Saccharomyces cerevisiae S288C: one gene and its partners. Changing the gene in region 1 together with any one later gene gives a genetic interaction. Each region holds a gene or a part of one and is shown in the gene's direction. Other genes may lie near its edges.

Region 1 (4,426 bases):
GAGAGTGGTTGGACGATACCCCCGGCCTGAGAGAATTAGTCCTTATCGTAAAACAATTCCTACACGCAAGAAGACTAAATAATGTGCATACCGGTGGTCTTGGTGGGTTTAGTATTATATGTCTTGTCTTTTCCTTTTTGCATATGCACCCACGTATAATAACTAACGAAATAGATCCAAAGGACAACTTGGGTGTGCTCCTGATAGAGTTTTTTGAACTTTATGGGAAAAATTTTGGTTATGATGATGTTGCACTGGGATCATCGGATGGATATCCAGTATACTTTCCAAAATCGACATGGAGTGCTATTCAGCCTATTAAAAATCCATTTTCATTGGCCATTCAAGATCCAGGTGATGAATCAAATAACATCAGTCGAGGGTCCTTTAACATTCGAGATATTAAAAAGGCATTTGCTGGTGCTTTTGATCTGTTGACGAATAGATGTTTTGAATTACATTCAGCAACTTTTAAGGATCGATTGGGGAAAAGTATATTGGGAAACGTGATCAAATATCGTGGAAAGGCAAGAGATTTCAAGGATGAAAGAGGTCTAGTACTGAATAAGGCTATTATTGAAAATGAAAACTATCACAAGAAACGTAGCAGAATAATTCATGATGAAGATTTTGCCGAAGATACAGTTACCTCCACAGCCACCGCTACCACAACAGATGATGATTATGAAATAACGAACCCACCTGCTAAGAAGGCTAAAATAGAAGAAAAACCTGAAAGTGAACCGGCCAAGAGAAATAGTGGAGAGACATATATCACTGTCTCTAGCGAAGATGATGATGAAGATGGATATAATCCTTATACCCTTTAATATGTGCCTTTTTGTTTAAATGATGCACTGAACTGTACATCACTGTGTACCTGGATAGAATGTGTGTTTAAATATGCGTATTATGTATTAATAATTGAATTTAATTTTACTTCTGTTTTTCTTTTTATCGCTGTGAACTTTTTTGTCAAGAAGTCGCTCTTTGTTGGCTTTCTCTTTTATTTTATTCCATTTCTTTGAGGTCTCAGCAGTGGTATCATTAGGAAATTGGCACGTTTGCCGAATTTCTTGAACCAACTTCTCGAAGCATTTTAATTTGTTGGTTTCCCTTGACCTAGTTTCATCAGATTGAATTACTATAGAATCGCTGCCCTTAGCGTAGTATCGAAACCTGCCGCTACTTAAGATGTTTCTCACTTCCTGAGGAATCCAAGCACAGTTTGATAAACCAGAAAGTGTCAAAGTACATTTACTATTTACCTTATTAACGTTTTGGCCTCCTGGCCCGCTGGCTCTATCGTAACGTAAAATAAATTGATTTAAGGGCAAGCCCGTTACGTTAAGTGCTCCTACCCAGTTTCTTGCCTGGACGAAGTCAGATTTCTTTCCGATCTTTTTATTACTAATCAATCTGACTGCCTCTTCAACGAACTGTTGTTTCTTGCAGTGCAACATTGGTTGAAGTACAAACAGAGGGGAGCGCCCAGTAAGTTTAAACTTTCCCATCAATGTTGTCATATGATATTTCTTGGCGTGTTTCCCTTCAATTTACTGAAAGGCAAACAGTAATGTTAAGGATTCTGTTGTTTTTTTTTACCGTATACGCTTGATTTCGTCAGCCCCTTGGAAGACACGAAATGTTGACTATCCGCTTCCAGATCTGGTAAAAGATTGATTTGCGATAATTCCTGTTGTTGTCATCACGGGTGTTATGGTTTGTTGTAAACTAAAAAAAGAATGAAGGAACAGGACGCAGATTCATCTAATCAAGTTCTGTGGGGAGGTCCCCAGTGGTAAGTGAATAAATATTCGCTTTATGAAGACCTACACCTGGTTTTCTCAATGGATCAGACGATAAGTACAATTTTTGTAGAGCTATACTCGAGGACAATCAGACAAAACGAAAGAATATCTTTCGATGAAGGGCGTAAAAAAGGAAGGATGGATATCTTATAAAGTTGATGGATTGTTTTCGTTCTTATGGCAAAAGAGATACTTGGTACTGAATGATTCGTATTTAGCATTTTACAAAAGTGATAAGTGCAATGAGGAACCAGTCTTATCTGTGCCTTTGACTAGTATAACAAATGTTAGCAGAATACAATTGAAACAAAATTGTTTTGAGATTCTTCGGGCAACAGATCAAAAAGAGAACATATCCCCCATAAACTCCTACTTTTATGAATCAAATTCCAAAAGATCGATATTCATTTCCACAAGAACCGAACGGGATTTGCATGGCTGGCTTGATGCCATTTTTGCCAAATGTCCTCTCCTTAGTGGTGTTTCATCACCAACAAATTTTACACACAAAGTACACGTTGGGTTCGACCCAAAAGTGGGAAACTTTGTTGGAGTACCTGATAGTTGGGCTAAACTACTACAAACCTCAGAAATTACGTACGACGATTGGAACAGAAACTCAAAAGCTGTTATTAAAGCACTGCAATTTTATGAAGATTACAATGGACTGGACACAATGCAATTCAATGATCACCTCAACACAAGCTTAGACTTGAAACCTTTAAAAAGTCCGACAAGGTATATTATAAACAAGAGGACTAATTCCATCAAGAGATCAGTAAGTAGGACGCTCCGAAAAGGCAAAACAGATTCCATTTTACCCGTCTATCAATCAGAACTTAAACCATTCCCAAGGCCTAGTGATGATGATTATAAGTTTACCAACATAGAGGACAATAAAGTACGCGAAGAAGGCAGGGTGCATGTTAGTAAAGAAAGCACGGCAGATTCCCAGACAAAGCAGTTAGGAAAGAAGGAACAGAAAGTCATTCAAAGCCATCTGCGAAGGCATGATAATAATTCAACATTTAGACCTCATCGACTAGCACCATCTGCACCTGCTACAAAAAATCATGATAGTAAAACTAAATGGCATAAGGAGGATCTCCTTGAACTTAAGAATAATGATGATTCGAATGAAATAATAATGAAGATGAAAACTGTTGCAATTGATGTAAACCCAAGACCGTATTTCCAACTGGTAGAAAAGGCTGGTCAAGGAGCAAGTGGTGCAGTATACCTGTCAAAGCGAATAAAATTACCTCAAGAAAATGACCCGAGATTCTTGAAATCACATTGCCACCGAGTCGTAGGCGAAAGAGTGGCCATTAAGCAGATACGTTTATCTGAACAACCAAAGAAACAATTGATTATGAATGAACTCCTAGTGATGAATGATTCGCGCCAAGAAAATATCGTTAATTTCCTTGAAGCCTATATTATTGATGACGAAGAGTTATGGGTGATAATGGAGTACATGGAAGGTGGCTGCTTAACAGATATATTGGATGCTGTAGCAAGGAGCAATACCGGTGAGCACTCATCGCCGTTAAACGAAAACCAAATGGCATATATAGTAAAAGAGACGTGCCAAGGTTTGAAGTTTTTGCATAACAAGAAAATTATCCATCGAGATATCAAATCTGATAATATCCTTCTGAATTCCCAAGGGTTAGTGAAAATTACAGACTTCGGTTTTTGTGTGGAATTAACAGAAAAAAGAAGCAAGCGTGCCACAATGGTAGGTACTCCATATTGGATGGCACCTGAAATAGTGAATCAAAAGGGATATGATGAAAAAGTCGACGTTTGGTCTCTAGGGATAATGCTTATTGAGATGATAGAAGGTGAACCGCCTTACCTAAATGAGGATCCTTTGAAGGCGCTGTATCTGATAGCTAACAACGGTTCACCAAAATTGCGTCATCCAGAGTCAGTGTCCAAGCAAACCAAACAATTCTTAGATGCCTGTTTGCAAGTGAATGTCGAATCAAGAGCATCCGTGAGAAAACTACTAACGTTTGAATTTTTGTCAATGGCATGCAGCCCTGAGCAGCTCAAAGTATCCTTAAAGTGGCATTGAAATTTAGCTTTTTTTTATTTAGGAGAAACAATATATATATATATGTATATACGTATGTATGATTCATATTTTAATCGCATTTTTATTTCATCTAAAACAATTACTCTTTTTGATTATTTATAGAAAAAAAACAACAATGATACGTTTGCTTCGCGTTATGTCAATAGAAAATGTAAAAGGAAAAAGAATGTGTTGCTATTCGTTAGGCGGATTTACGGATGGAAGACATATCTATGAACTGAGCTTACAAACGCTTTTAGCGGGGACAGTTAATCATTTTACGGATGATTTTATAAGAATAAACTATTTTTGAAAAGTTAGGATAGTATTTTGTACATTTGGCACCGAAGTAATTCAAAATCGAGGAAGACTCGCACACTTTTACAATCACAGAAGGCAAAACCCGGCATGACAGGATGATAATGTCATCAACTATGTCGACAGAAGCCGCCTTGGTACCGAACGAAAGTGTTTTTGACACAGTTTCGTCATTCAACGAAGACGATGCCAATTATAGCGTTCTTGATTTATA
Region 2 (7,568 bases), on another chromosome or scaffold:
AGGGCATTACCATAAGTGGCCACAGCGTTATCTATTCCTGAAGGGGTACCGTGAATACACTTTTCACCTATGAAGGCCCATTGATTCACTATATGCTTATCGTTTTCTGACAGCTTTTCCAAGTCATTAGATCCTATTAACCCCCCCAAGTAGGCCATAGCTAAGGCCAGTGATACAGAAATAGAGGCGCTTGAGCCCAACCCAGCACCGATGGGTAAAGTAGACTTTAAAGAAAACTTAATATTCTTGGCATGGGGGCATAGGCAAACAAACATATACAGGAAACAAAACGCTGCATGGTAGTGGAAGGATTCGGATAGTTGAGCTAACAACGGATCCAAAAGACTAACGAGTTCCTGAGACAAGCCATCGGTGGCTTGTTGAGCCTTGGCCAATTTTTGGGAGTTTACTTGATCCTCGGTGATGGCATTGAAATCATTGATGGACCACTTATGATTAAAGCTAATGTCCGGGAAGTCCAATTCAATAGTATCTGGTGCAGATGACTCGCTTATTAGCAGGTAGGTTCTCAACGCAGACACACTAGCAGCGACGGCAGGCTTGTTGTACACAGCAGAGTGTTCACCAAAAATAATAACCTTTCCCGGTGCAGAAGTTAAGAACGGTAATGACATATTGACAGTTTTCTATACGTAGATATAAATTTGCAAGTTAGGACTAAGAAGCGCACCAGCTAACCAGGAAGTAATATCATGGCTAACTAACCTTTATAGGCATATCGTTGTATCGTTCTTCGATACCCTGTCGAAGATTTCAGTGCGACAGCCAAACGAGGCCCGAAAATTGTCAGTACAATTACAACCGATAAAATACACGTTGAGACAAAACTAGCACAAAACGCCTCTTTAAACATAAATGTGTACGCATTCTGAAAGTGAGATAGAGTACAAGGCTATCGCTAGCTTTCCACGGGAGAAGTAGTAGGAACCTCTCTTTTTATTGCTTATGACAGTAATAATAGCATCATTCATCAATGTTTCCGTTAGGGTAACTAAAATGGGTGGGCGGCAGATGACAAGAAAAGATGAATAATGAAGAATGATAAAGAAGAAGTCATCTTGGGTAGAAAGGGAAGACAATTACACACGGCCAAAGCTGGGGGGCTCGCCGGATACATTCTCACTTTTACATTACCATATTCACAATTACTTGCATTCGAATAGGACAGTACAAGCTCGCGTTATATTTGGATCCTTATCGATTCTATAATATAACGGGCAGCCAGATAGTACGGTTGAAAGGACAGCGCCCTGAATACAGAAAACGCATTTTTGCCCATTCGTATAGGCATTCATCTCGAATAGGTTTGAATTTTCCATCTAGAAGAAGGTATTCCAATTATGTGGATCGAGGCAATATTCATAAACATACTCGATTACCGCCCCAGTTCATAGGGCTAAATACTGTGGAAAGTGCCCAACCTTCAATATTAAGAGATTTTGTTGATTTACGTGGTGGACATACTGTTATTTCAAAGATCTTAATAGCAAACAATGGTATTGCTGCGGTGAAAGAAATGAGATCTATAAGAAAATGGGCGTACGAGACGTTCAATGATGAAAAAATCATTCAATTCGTGGTAATGGCGACACCTGATGATTTACACGCAAATTCGGAGTATATTAGAATGGCAGACCAATATGTGCAGGTACCAGGGGGTACCAACAACAACAATTACGCCAACATAGACTTAATACTGGACGTGGCAGAGCAAACGGATGTGGATGCGGTCTGGGCTGGATGGGGCCATGCTTCTGAAAATCCGTGTCTTCCTGAGCTGTTAGCTAGTTCACAAAGGAAAATACTATTCATTGGTCCTCCTGGACGCGCTATGAGATCATTGGGTGACAAGATTTCTTCCACTATTGTAGCACAAAGCGCTAAAATCCCGTGTATCCCTTGGTCTGGTTCACATATAGACACTATCCATATCGATAACAAGACGAACTTTGTATCTGTGCCGGATGATGTATATGTAAGGGGATGTTGTTCCTCACCTGAAGATGCTTTAGAAAAGGCTAAATTAATAGGATTTCCTGTAATGATTAAGGCATCCGAAGGTGGTGGAGGTAAGGGCATTAGGCGAGTAGATAATGAGGATGATTTTATTGCATTATATCGCCAAGCAGTGAATGAGACACCTGGGTCGCCTATGTTTGTTATGAAAGTTGTCACTGATGCTCGTCACTTAGAGGTACAGTTATTAGCTGACCAATATGGCACTAACATTACATTGTTTGGGAGAGACTGTTCCATACAAAGGCGGCACCAAAAGATTATAGAAGAGGCACCAGTGACAATAACCAAGCCTGAAACGTTTCAAAGGATGGAACGCGCAGCAATTCGTCTAGGTGAATTGGTAGGTTATGTTTCTGCGGGCACTGTCGAATACTTATATTCACCAAAAGATGATAAATTTTACTTTTTAGAACTGAATCCGAGACTACAAGTAGAGCATCCAACGACAGAAATGATATCTGGCGTAAACCTTCCTGCCACTCAACTGCAAATCGCCATGGGCATTCCTATGCACATGATAAGTGATATCAGAAAACTTTATGGTTTAGATCCAACGGGAACTTCGTATATTGATTTTAAAAATTTAAAGAGACCCTCGCCAAAAGGCCATTGTATTTCATGCAGGATCACTTCAGAAGATCCTAATGAAGGTTTCAAGCCCTCCACTGGGAAAATACATGAGCTCAATTTTCGTTCTTCTTCCAATGTTTGGGGTTACTTCTCAGTAGGAAATAATGGTGCTATTCACTCATTTTCAGATTCCCAATTTGGGCACATTTTTGCTGTAGGAAACGATAGGCAAGATGCAAAGCAAAACATGGTTTTAGCTCTAAAAGATTTTTCCATCCGAGGAGAATTCAAAACCCCCATAGAGTACCTGATAGAGCTATTAGAAACTCGGGACTTTGAGAGTAATAACATATCGACTGGTTGGTTAGATGATTTGATTTTGAAAAATTTATCTTCCGATAGCAAACTAGATCCAACGCTCGCTATTATCTGTGGTGCCGCAATGAAAGCATACGTTTTCACAGAAAAGGTGAGGAATAAGTATTTGGAATTATTGCGGAGGGGCCAAGTTCCACCTAAAGATTTTCTTAAAACGAAGTTTCCTGTTGACTTCATTTTCGATAATAATAGATACTTGTTCAATGTTGCTCAATCATCTGAAGAACAATTTATTCTTTCTATCAATAAGTCTCAATGTGAAGTTAATGTTCAAAAATTGTCCAGTGACTGCTTGTTGATCTCCGTTGACGGTAAATGCCATACAGTTTATTGGAAGGACGATATCAGAGGTACAAGACTTTCGATAGACTCCAATACCATATTTTTAGAAGCTGAACTCAATCCCACTCAAGTGATCTCTCCAACTCCGGGGAAATTGGTGAAATATTTGGTCCGAAGTGGTGATCACGTTTTTGCTGGACAGCAATATGCAGAAATAGAAATAATGAAAATGCAGATGCCACTAGTAGCGAAAAGTGATGGTGTAATTGAGTTACTAAGACAGCCCGGTTCCATAATTGAGGCTGGTGATGTCATCGCAAAATTGACTTTGGATTCGCCGTCCAAAGCTAACGAATCGTCTTTATACCGCGGAGAATTACCTGTTTTAGGTCCACCGCTAATAGAGGGTAGCCGACCAAACCATAAGCTCAGAGTCTTAATAAATAGGTTAGAAAATATTCTCAATGGATATCATGAAAACTCTGGAATAGAAACTACTCTAAAAGAGTTGATAAAAATATTGAGAGATGGTAGGCTTCCTTATTCAGAATGGGATTCCCAAATTTCTACGGTACGCAATAGACTACCAAGGCAATTGAATGAGGGGCTGGGAAATCTAGTCAAGAAATCTGTTTCTTTTCCTGCAAAGGAACTGCACAAATTAATGAAGCGCTACTTGGAAGAAAATACAAATGATCATGTAGTTTATGTTGCCTTACAGCCACTTCTTAAAATTAGTGAAAGGTATAGCGAAGGTTTAGCTAATCACGAATGTGAAATTTTTTTAAAGTTGATTAAAAAGTACTATGCTGTTGAGAAAATTTTTGAAAATCATGATATACATGAAGAAAGAAACTTACTAAATCTGCGGAGGAAAGACCTTACAAACTTGAAAAAAATTTTGTGCATAAGTTTATCGCATGCTAACGTAGTCGCAAAGAACAAGTTAGTAACTGCAATATTGCATGAATACGAGCCATTGTGCCAGGATTCCTCTAAGATGTCTTTAAAATTCAGGGCTGTTATACATGATTTGGCAAGTTTGGAATCTAAGTGGGCTAAAGAGGTTGCTGTAAAGGCAAGATCAGTGCTACTCAGAGGGATTTTCCCTCCCATAAAGAAAAGAAAAGAGCATATTAAAACTCTCCTGCAATTGCACATAAAGGATACTGGTGCCGAAAACATTCACAGCAGGAACATATATTCCTGTATGAGGGATTTTGGTAATTTAATACATTCAAATCTGATACAACTTCAGGATTTGTTCTTTTTTTTTGGCCATCAAGATACGGCTCTTTCCAGTATAGCATCTGAAATTTATGCAAGGTATGCCTACGGCAATTATCAATTAAAAAGTATTAAGATTCATAAAGGAGCGCCTGATTTACTAATGTCATGGCAATTCAGCTCATTAAGAAATTATTTAGTCAATTCTGATGGTGAGAGTGATGAGTTTACAAAACTTTCTAAACCTCCCTCAACATCAGGTAAGAGCTCAGCAAATAGTTTTGGTCTTCTTGTCAACATGCGTGCGCTTGAATCTCTGGAAAAGACATTAGACGAGGTATACGAACAAATTCATATTCCTGAGGAAAGACTTTCCAGCGGAGAGAACTCTCTTATTGTTAATATTTTATCTCCTATTCGTTACAGAAGTGAAAATGATCTAATTAAAACTTTAAAAATTAAACTTCATGAAAATGAGAGAGGTCTATCCAAGCTCAAGGTTAATCGTATTACATTTGCATTTATCGCCGCGAATGCGCCCGCTGTTAAATTTTACTCCTTTGATGGAACTACGTACGATGAAATCTCTCAAATAAGAAATATGGATCCATCCTATGAAGCACCGTTAGAGTTAGGAAAAATGTCGAACTATAAAATCAGATCACTACCTACATACGATAGTAGTATACGCATTTTTGAAGGTATTAGCAAATTTACGCCGCTAGATAAAAGGTTCTTTGTCAGGAAAATCATAAATTCCTTCATGTATAATGATCAAAAAACAACCGAAGAAAACTTGAAAGCGGAAATCAATGCTCAAGTGGTTTATATGTTAGAACATCTAGGAGCAGTTGACATCTCAAATTCAGACTTGAATCATATTTTTTTAAGTTTCAATACAGTTCTTAACATACCAGTACATCGTCTCGAGGAAATTGTGAGTACAATTCTAAAGACTCACGAAACCAGATTGTTTCAAGAAAGAATCACAGATGTAGAAATTTGCATCTCTGTTGAGTGCCTAGAAACAAAGAAGCCAGCCCCGCTTAGATTACTTATTTCTAATAAATCTGGGTATGTGGTAAAAATTGAGACATATTACGAAAAGATAGGGAAAAATGGGAATCTGATTTTGGAACCGTGTAGTGAGCAGAGCCATTATAGCCAGAAATCTCTCTCTCTTCCTTACTCGGTCAAGGATTGGCTACAACCTAAAAGGTACAAAGCTCAATTCATGGGTACAACATATGTGTACGATTTCCCAGGTCTGTTTCATCAAGCTGCAATCCAACAGTGGAAAAGGTATTTTCCAAAACATAAGCTGAATGACAGTTTTTTTAGTTGGGTTGAATTGATAGAACAAAACGGTAATTTAATAAAAGTAAACAGGGAGCCAGGCCTTAATAATATAGGGATGGTTGCTTTTGAGATTATGGTTCAGACACCTGAATATCCTGAAGGGCGTAACATGATCGTGATTTCTAATGATATTACCTACAATATTGGATCTTTTGGACCGAGAGAAGATTTGTTTTTTGATAGGGTCACAAATTATGCAAGAGAGAGAGGGATCCCGAGGATATACTTGGCGGCGAATTCAGGAGCTAAATTGGGTATAGCCGAAGAGCTGATCCCTCTATTTCGTGTAGCATGGAATGACCCCTCTGATCCAACAAAGGGTTTCCAGTACTTATACTTAGCTCCAAAAGACATGCAGCTACTGAAAGATTCTGGGAAAGGAAATTCGGTTGTTGTTGAACACAAGATGGTATACGGTGAAGAGAGATATATTATTAAAGCAATAGTCGGATTCGAAGAGGGTTTAGGTGTTGAATGTTTACAGGGCTCGGGTTTAATTGCTGGTGCCACTTCGAAAGCGTATAGAGACATTTTCACTATTACTGCTGTTACTTGTCGGTCCGTTGGTATAGGTTCCTATCTGGTCAGACTAGGACAACGTACTATTCAGGTGGAGGATAAGCCTATCATACTGACGGGTGCATCGGCGATTAATAAAGTTTTGGGTACCGATATCTATACATCTAACCTACAAATTGGCGGAACCCAAATCATGTATAAAAACGGAATAGCGCATTTAACAGCCAGTAATGATATGAAAGCCATCGAAAAAATAATGACATGGTTATCATATGTCCCGGCGAAAAGAGATATGAGTCCTCCACTTCTTGAAACTATGGATAGATGGGATAGGGATGTAGACTTCAAACCTGCCAAGCAAGTGCCATATGAGGCAAGGTGGTTGATAGAGGGTAAATGGGACTCAAATAACAACTTCCAGTCAGGCCTATTTGATAAGGATTCGTTTTTTGAGACATTATCTGGATGGGCCAAAGGTGTAATAGTTGGAAGAGCACGTCTTGGAGGTATTCCCGTGGGTGTTATTGCGGTAGAAACTAAGACTATCGAAGAAATAATCCCCGCTGACCCAGCTAATCTGGATTCTTCAGAGTTTTCCGTTAAAGAAGCAGGACAGGTGTGGTATCCAAATTCCGCGTTCAAAACAGCTCAAACTATAAATGATTTTAACTATGGTGAGCAATTACCATTGATTATCTTAGCCAATTGGAGGGGATTTTCTGGCGGTCAAAGGGATATGTACAATGAAGTACTAAAGTACGGGTCTTTTATTGTTGACGCTCTGGTTGACTACAAACAACCCATACTGATATACATTCCGCCCTTTGGTGAATTAAGGGGCGGATCATGGGTTGTTATAGATCCAACTATTAATCCTGAACAAATGGAAATGTATGCCGATGTTGAATCTAGGGGAGGTGTGTTAGAACCTGACGGAGTAGTTAGCATAAAATACCGTAAGGAGAAAATGATAGAGACGATGATTCGATTAGACTCCACATATGGACATTTGAGAAGAACGTTGACAGAAAAAAAGTTATCTTTGGAAAAACAAAATGATCTTACGAAGAGATTGAAAATAAGAGAGAGACAGTTGATACCAATTTACAATCAAATCAGCATACAGTTTGCAGATTTACATGATAGATCGACTAGGATGCTAGTTAAAGGAGTAATCCGAAATGAGTTGGAAT
Region 3 (3,101 bases), on another chromosome or scaffold:
AATAAATATTTGACCACAACCTGGAGACAAAAACCAGAGCACATTGGCGGATTTCTATCTGATGGTGGTGTCCACCAATTAGCTCTCGTTATTTCCCTACTCGGTGAATTTGGATCTGTTTCTGCATTAACGAGACAGGTGCGTGAACGTTCCGGTGCAGATGATATTGTCTTTGCTACTGTCCAGTTGAAAAATAAAGAGGTTATCGGAAGTTTTACTTATGGGTCTGCCTTTGGTGCTACCGAAAAGTCGGTTTTCTTGAAAGTCTATGGTAAGAATGGTACCGTTACCGTTGACTTATCAGACAAAAAAGACCCCGTTGTAAAAGTCAAATTAGGGGGTTCAGCTGAAGATAACGGTGACGAACAAATTTTTAAAGTCGATAATGATGAAAGTTTCGGCGTCAACGCTGAATTTTTGAATTTTCACGAAGCTGTCAGCAAGAAGGACAAATCCTTATACCTAGGCACACCCAGAACTGCATTTCACCATTTGGCTTGTGTGGACGCGTTTTTAAAATCTTCTGCCAAGAATGGTGACTACGTTAAAATTGAGCAGCCATGATTACCGTTTTACGATGTAACGCTTTTTTAACCTTAATAGATAGATTCCCTCATATATTTATAACTATGTACCCACATAAGTATACTTTTGGAATGATAATACTAACGAGATAAAAAACCGTTGAAAAATTTCTAAGTTTTCTTGAACTAAAAATAGCCAAAATTCTCCATCCACTTGTTGTTGCAAAATGTTACGAAGGCGAGGTTCTTGGAAATCTGGATGATTATGGGAAAATTCGTTCAACAAGAACGCCGAGCCTGGACGAAATACTTAGTCGGCATGGAACTAGTTATGAATGACTTTTCCTATATAAGATCTACAACCGTTTCCAATTCACCATGAGATATATATATGTTTAACGAATCAGGTACTCGTCCGAAGCATTTCGAGTAATGCAACCCCACAAGTGTCCCCCAAGAATTCACTGGGATTTTTGATGACCGAAAGAAAGCTATTGCAGCTGCTACGGCGTCCTTTCATCTCCCTTTCTTTATTCACGGCCTTAAGAGCTTGTCCGCTTCGCCCCAAAAGCCTAATTGCTTAGAGCATGAGAGTTGAAAACGACCAGAAGTGTCGTTTTAGGTAAGCATTCGGCCATAATGAACAGTAAGTTTGTCCGAAAAATACACCGCTAGGGTTCGATAACGAAGAGCGCATATCAATTGCGTTGTCGACTTAATTGCTCTCTTAGTACAACGGTATGTGTCAGTGATAAAATCCTACCGGTTCCACTTTTTGTGAGCGATAGATGACGGAACGTATGCGCCTATTTCTTTTTTTTGGCGCAGCAAGGGACAATGGTCCCTTTTTGAGAAAATGTTGTAGGCTTGGCCATCGGCGTGAACGCATATAAAAAGAAGACTGCCAACATGACAGTATTTGAAACAACTACAGATTTGGCAAAGTTCGCCAAGATAAAGAAGACCGAAGCAGGTGCTAAGCTTCCATTAAAAGTTTTTCAAGAAAAATCTGATTATGGGTTCAATAAGTAGATACCTTCTTAAGAAAGCAGCAGATGGGCTTAAAGATGAGCAGAGATTGAAGATTGAAATGTCCGATAGCAAAAGTGTCCCAGAGTGCTTTCATTTTAATAGGGAAAGAAGAATGCCCATAGCCGAGATAAACGGCGAGGATGGGTTTTTCATGTTTCCGTCTCAGCAATCGCTTGAAAATTTTGAAAACACTAAAAAGTATTCGAATGAGCTGAGTCCAGATGCAATTGGTATTCCATTATTCCAAATTATCAATTGCACTCTACCGTTTGGTAAAAGAGGTCATAGCAATACTGTGGTCGGCAATGTCCCATATTATAAAATTTTCAAATTTATTTTAAGAACGGCAGACGAACCTCCGCCTTATACTGTGGCAAAAATCGTTTGCTCAAACAACGGATTAATATTGTATAAAGTGCCTCTTTACGACATATATAAAAATGTCAGCCAAGCAAACGTAACTTACAGCTTCGTAGGGACTACGTCTACGGAGCCCAACTTACTAGCAATGGCTCACCGAGAAGGACACAGGGATTTGGACACTAAAGTGAATAATTTAAATCTCAGGTGGCATGTCACTTATTCGCCCGTAGTTACCAACGATCATTATAAATTAATTCTGTTAGCAGATTATGAAGTGAATCGTTTGGATGAAGATGTCATTAGAGCCGCTAAAAATAAGATGTCCATCGACCAAAAGGATCAAAAAGTTCAGAGGTTCGTGGCAGCTCATTATACTAGAGAATTTGAAACATCTCTTTTTAGGTGGGTCGCTCAAGAGGGCCACTTAATTCTTGGCGAGTATTCCACAGATCAAGGATCATTTGGATTGAATAATATCCCACCATTGACGGAAGAACTCGGGTGTCAGAGCCTGCTCATACATTACATAGAGTACATGAAGAGACAACGTAAAAAAATTGCGAAAGAGGCAAGGAGACAAAATAAAAGAAACGTTGCAAACACGACTAACATGAACATGAACCTCATGTAACAAAAGTTTGCGTATAATAAACCAGTATAGATGTGTAACTGTAATTTTTAACTTATCACAAGCTCGTTCCCTTCCTGCGTTGAAAAAGCGGGACAATGCCAGAATATAAAAAAAAGAAGAAACTTTAAACCCTGTCATATCTTGTCCGAGATCTCGTCGTTCTTGTTTAATTGATCTTCTTCGTATACTGCCAAAGGTGCCAAGGCACAAAAAAGTTTAAAGTGGCACGGGCTATTGCGTCACATAAAGCCCGTAGCGCAAAAAAGTGATAGCTGACTTCATTAGATCACCAAAATGGAAAAAACTTCGTGAAGATTTCTTTTTATCTTCCTCACAGTTTTTAACTTCCGGGTGTTATACTCTCCGTTTGAAAAGTTGATTTTGTTAACTTTCCTCTTTCCTTTTGGAGTAAAAACAATATCCTCGATAGGCAAGACCTTCCTGCACCGCTATGGCGGCCATTTTGATTTTTCTTTACTGTGGGAAGCAAGAACTTGTTCAGGCGCCTTCCTGGATAAGCCATCTTTTTTCAAACAGTTTCTTCTATACGA
Region 4 (5,444 bases), on another chromosome or scaffold:
AAGAACACACCACTAAGGAGAATTACTCAAGCAGCTTACTCGAGCCCAACTATGACGACCACGCGAACTGGAAAATCCTGGATAATGCCTCGAACACAAGAACTGTGCCGATAGATAACAACTTCTCTTTGATGTCTACGGACGTTACAATACCTTCCACAGCAAACTACCAAACAAATAGTGCACATGATCTGGACGAAGAAAAGGAGTACTTTTTTGCCAACTGTTTCCCCATGTACAGAAAAAAATTTCAGTTCAACACACACCCCAAATTCCTAGGGACGAAATCCAAATTATTCATCAACCAAAGCATTTCTCCCGATTGCACCAAATTTGCTCTAATTACTGAACACAAGTGGGAAATTTATTCGATTAATCCGAAGGACAACTCTCCTCAACTAGTATCATGTGGCAAGTCTAGTGGAGAATATGGTCCCAACTTCAACCAACTAACAGAGCAATCGTCATCTTCACTCTCCACTACTTCTCAAGCGTCAAAAAAGAAAAAGAAAAACTGGAGCCAACGTTTTTGCAAACTTTCCAATGATTTCTTGATAATATCGGGTTCGCAAAACATTCTTAATGTACACGACATACACCAAAACGGCAAACTCATCTATACCTACGTGTCGAGATTCCCCATCCGATGCATAGACATAGATCCAAGGTCGCAGATAATAGCCTACGGAATCACCGGAAAGGATAGACATACAGGCGCGGAACAAGCATTAGTCGTGATCCAACAAATTACCAGAAATAAAGTGACTTTGGAGCCCGAGTTCCCCCCACCAATCACCATAACACTTCCATACAGAGATCCCATCAATACCATACAACTTTCGCACGACGCCAAGTATCTGACATGTTCGACCGCGCTAGAGTCGCGGTTCTTGATCATATCTTTGCAGAAAATAAACGAACCAAGACTGATAATGAAAAGTGTTCGGTCCATAGACACTTCCTTAGAATCTGAAGGTATCACTGACACAAAACTTTTCCCAGGAAATCCAAATCTGATGTGTATCACATCAACAGCATTCAATTCATCTCCACTGGTCATAAACACCAAAATCACCCAAATTAACGGTGTACGGACCGTGGCACAACCATCCATGCTTATAAGGGTAGATGAGATTGGATGCAAGATTCACAAGTGCGAAATATCACCAAGAAACGACGCAATTGCCTTCCTCGACCGCAACGGATCAGTTTACATCATGTGTGCCCCCACCATGATGGACAACAACGAAAAAAGAAGGACAATCCTCGTTGAAACCGTGGCAAATGCCTACAGGGCTTATGAATCAGCTACTTTGCGGTTTAACCCAGAGGGCAACAAGCTTTATATTCTCGACAGAAAGGGGACTTTCTTTGTGGAAGACTTTGCATATGGCTTGCCCCAATCTCGCGAAATCACCAAATGTAAGCAAATATTCCACAAATAATGCATCTAAATATATACGTATGTTTAAGGTTCTGGTATACAGGTATTAAAAGAAAACACTATCAACATTCCCAATAAGATATACCACACCACGTGAGCTTATAGAAGCACGTGACCACAATTCACCCCACAGGTGTGGCTTTTTTGGTGCCGTAGAAAAGACTCATTCATGAATCGTCGGAAACCCATAGTCATCTTCGAGCAAAAGGTATATATAAGCAACAGAGGGCAGTAGTTCTCGAGACCACCATCTTTTGATTGGAAATAGTTTCGTTTAGATGGGGTGCACATAGTTTTTTTCAACTGCTTTTCCTCGAGGTCACCCAAATATACAACGAGATGCCAGTTGAGTTTGCTACCAATCCTTTTGGCGAGGCCAAAAATGCAACTTCACTGCCAAAATATGGTACACCCGTAACTGCCATTTCATCTGTGCTGTTCAATAACGTGGACTCCATTTTTGCTTACAAGTCCTTTTCTCAACCCGATTTGCTACACCAAGATCTAAAAAAATGGTCTGAAAAGCGTGGTAACGAATCACGTGGGAAGCCATTTTTCCAAGAGCTGGATATCAGATCTGGCGCTGGTTTGGCTCCTTTAGGGTTTTCTCATGGATTGAAGAACACTACAGCAATTGTTGCTCCAGGGTTTTCGCTGCCATACTTCATTAACTCTTTGAAAACCGTCTCTCATGATGGTAAGTTTCTTTTGAATGTTGGTGCTTTAAACTACGACAATGCTACCGGCTCTGTCACCAACGATTATGTAACCGCATTGGATGCTGCTTCCAAGCTGAAGTATGGTGTCGTGACTCCGATTTCCGCTAACGAGGTACAAAGTGTCGCCTTACTGGCATTGGCGATTGCCACTTTCAGTAATAACTCCGGAGCTATCAATTTATTTGACGGATTAAACTACTCGAAAACCGTCTTGCCGTTGGTCGAATCTGTTCCTGAGGCATCTATTTTGGCAAAACTATCCAAAGTTATTGCACCAGATGCTGCCTTTGATGATGTCTTGGATAAGTTTAATGAATTGACTGGATTGAGACTACATAATTTCCAATACTTTGGTGCTCAGGATGCTGAAACTGTGTTTATCACTTATGGGTCTTTAGAATCCGAATTGTTCAACTCTGCGATTAGTGGTAATAATTCCAAAATCGGGTTAATCAACGTCAGAGTGCCATTACCTTTTAACGTTGCTAAGTTTGTCACTCACGTTCCATCCACTACCAAACAAATTGTTGTTATAGGCCAAACTTTGGATGGTTCTTCGCCTTCTTTCTTGAGATCTCAAGTTTCAGCCGCCTTATTTTACCACGGCCGCACCTCAATTAGCGTTTCTGAGTACATCTATCAACCAGATTTCATTTGGTCCCCAAAAGCTGTCAAATCAATTGTATCGTCATTCATCCCTGAATTCACTTACAATGCCGATTCATCTTTCGGCGAAGGATTCATTTATTGGGCCTCTGATAAGAGTATCAATATTGATGTTGCCTCCAAACTTGTGAAAGCTCTGTCTTTGGAAGATGGGAAATTTGTGTCTTTGAGAACGAAATTTGATAACTTGGCTAATGCTGGTACCTTCCAAGCTCAATTTGTGACCTCGAAAGAACAGATACCTGTTTCAAACATCGATTCTACGAAATTATCAGTCGTTGAAGATGTCAGTTTATTGAAGCATTTAGACGTAGCTGCTACCGTCGCAGAACAAGGTTCAATTGCGTTGGTTTCCCAAAAGGCAGTTAAAGATTTGGATTTAAATTCTGTAGAAAGTTACGTCAAGAATTTGGGAATTCCTGAATCATTCCTAATATCTATTGCGAAGAAAAACATCAAATTGTTTATCATCGATGGTGAGACCACTAACGACGAGTCCAAATTGTCCTTGTTTATCCAAGCCGTTTTCTGGAAATTGGCCTTCGGTCTAGATGTCGCAGAATGTACCAACCGTATCTGGAAAAGCATTGATTCAGGTGCAGACATTTCAGCAGCCTCGATTTCTGAATTTCTCACTGGTGCATTCAAAAACTTCCTCAGTGAGGTTCCGCTAGCGCTGTACACTAAATTTTCTGAAATAAACATTGAAAAGAAAGAGGATGAGGAAGAGCCTGCAGCTTTACCAATTTTCGTTAATGAAACATCTTTCCTCCCAAATAACAGTACCATTGAAGAAATACCATTACCTGAGACCTCTGAGATCTCTGATATTGCCAAGAAGTTGTCCTTCAAAGAGGCATATGAAGTTGAGAATAAACTAAGACCCGATTTACCCGTCAAGAACTTCGTCGTGAAAGTTAAAGAAAATAGACGTGTTACGCCTGCTGATTATGATAGATATATTTTCCATATTGAATTCGATATTTCTGGTACTGGAATGACTTATGACATCGGTGAAGCCCTCGGTATTCATGCCAGAAACAATGAATCTTTGGTCAAAGAATTCTTAACCTTCTATGGTCTAAATGAATCCGATGTTGTCTTAGTCCCCAACAAGGACAACCACCATTTGTTAGAAACAAGAACCGTCTTACAAGCATTTGTGGAAAATTTGGATATTTTCGGTAAACCACCAAAAAGATTTTACGAATCATTGATTCCATATGCCTCTAACGAAGAGGAGAAGAAAAAATTAGAGGATTTGGTTACTCCTGCCGGTGCAGTAGATTTGAAGAGATTTCAAGATGTGGAGTATTATACATATGCTGACATTTTTGAATTGTTCCCATCTGTTCGCCCATCTCTTGAGGAACTTGTTACTATCATTGAACCATTGAAGAGAAGAGAATACTCAATTGCCTCCTCTCAGAAAGTTCATCCAAATGAAGTTCATTTATTGATCGTTGTTGTTGATTGGGTGGATAATAAAGGAAGAAAAAGGTACGGTCAAGCTTCTAAGTATATCTCAGACCTTGCTGTCGGTTCAGAATTGGTCGTTAGCGTTAAACCATCTGTTATGAAATTACCACCATCTCCAAAGCAACCAGTTATTATGAGTGGTTTAGGTACTGGTTTGGCACCATTCAAGGCCATTGTTGAAGAGAAATTATGGCAAAAGCAGCAAGGTTATGAGATTGGTGAAGTCTTCCTATATCTAGGTTCAAGACACAAAAGAGAAGAATATTTATATGGTGAGTTATGGGAGGCTTACAAAGATGCAGGTATTATCACACACATCGGCGCTGCTTTCTCAAGAGACCAACCTCAAAAAATTTACATTCAAGATCGTATCAAAGAGAATTTGGATGAATTAAAAACTGCAATGATTGATAATAAAGGTTCATTTTACTTGTGTGGCCCTACTTGGCCAGTTCCAGATATTACTCAAGCTTTGCAAGACATTCTGGCTAAAGACGCCGAGGAAAGAGGCATCAAAGTCGACTTGGATGCCGCAATTGAAGAATTAAAGGAAGCATCAAGATACATTTTAGAAGTCTACTAAATTAATATAGTAATAAAAACTAAATATCTATTTATTGAACCTGTCTTGAACATTTCTATTTTTTTTTTACTTTTAGTTTTCTTCTATGCGCAAGCTTTTCTATTGGCTGCCAAATAGAAAATTATTGAAATATGATTACATTACAATATTTATTTGTCTTATGAAAACTAACCATCACATTATACTAACTACGGAGGTACCATCTTGAAATCTCGTCCTGAAGACCCTATTAGCATTGGCAAACATACCTTCTTTAAGCGAGACTACAATGAACTGAGATCCTTTAAACCTTGTTTTAATCAAATGACCTATATTTTGCGTATGACTTAAATCAAGAGCAGCATCAACTTCATCCAAAATATACATAGGCGCTGGTCGAAATTGCAACAATGCCATAATCAATGACAAAGCAATCAACGACCTTTGCCCACCGGACAATTCAATCAAACTTTCCTTCCATATATTACCAAGCTTTACTTTAACCTCTAAACCCTGCGTTACGTCCTTACCTTCGCATGGAACCAATTTTGCAAATGAATTTGGTAAAAGGTCT

What was found.
Region 2: mutations in SKM1 (region 1) and HFA1 together harm fitness more than expected from each alone (negative genetic interaction), as found in Saccharomyces cerevisiae (2 studies listed by BioGRID).
Region 3: mutations in SKM1 (region 1) and DIA1 together harm fitness more than expected from each alone (negative genetic interaction), as found in Saccharomyces cerevisiae (2 studies listed by BioGRID).
Region 4: mutations in SKM1 (region 1) and MET10 together harm fitness more than expected from each alone (negative genetic interaction), as found in Saccharomyces cerevisiae (2 studies listed by BioGRID).

What each region holds. Positions count from the first base shown.
Region 1 is NC_001147.6:102,400-106,825, forward strand, and holds SKM1 (putative serine/threonine protein kinase SKM1), read left to right. Parts: upstream 1-1,926; coding exon 1,927-3,894; downstream 3,895-4,426. Other genes in the region: non-canonical poly(A) polymerase PAP2, read left to right, coding at 1-830; PTH4 (Pth4p), read right to left, coding at 918-1,526; Rab GTPase-activating protein MSB4, read left to right, coding at 4,311-4,426. UniProt on the Saccharomyces cerevisiae protein: May be involved in cellular signaling or cytoskeletal functions. May play a role in morphogenetic control.
Region 2 is NC_001145.3:677,534-685,101, reverse strand, and holds the start of HFA1 (acetyl-CoA carboxylase HFA1), read left to right. Parts: upstream 1-1,537; coding exon 1,538-7,568. Other genes in the region: ERG12 (mevalonate kinase), read right to left, coding at 1-635. UniProt on the Saccharomyces cerevisiae protein: Catalyzes the rate-limiting reaction in the mitochondrial fatty acid synthesis (FAS) type II pathway. Responsible for the production of the mitochondrial malonyl-CoA, used for the biosynthesis of the cofactor lipoic acid.
Region 3 is NC_001145.3:903,286-906,386, forward strand, and holds DIA1 (Dia1p), read left to right. Parts: upstream 1-1,539; coding exon 1,540-2,550; downstream 2,551-3,101. Other genes in the region: YMR315W (uncharacterized protein), read left to right, coding at 1-564; YMR315W-A (uncharacterized protein), read left to right, coding at 1,001-1,108; YMR316C-A (uncharacterized protein), read right to left, coding at 2,377-2,688. UniProt on the Saccharomyces cerevisiae protein: Involved in regulation of invasive growth.
Region 4 is NC_001138.5:211,529-216,972, forward strand, and holds MET10 (sulfite reductase subunit alpha), read left to right. Parts: upstream 1-1,783; coding exon 1,784-4,891; downstream 4,892-5,444. Other genes in the region: PTR3 (Ptr3p), read left to right, coding at 1-1,445; condensin subunit SMC2, read right to left, coding at 5,066-5,444. UniProt on the Saccharomyces cerevisiae protein: This enzyme catalyzes the 6-electron reduction of sulfite to sulfide. This is one of several activities required for the biosynthesis of L-cysteine from sulfate.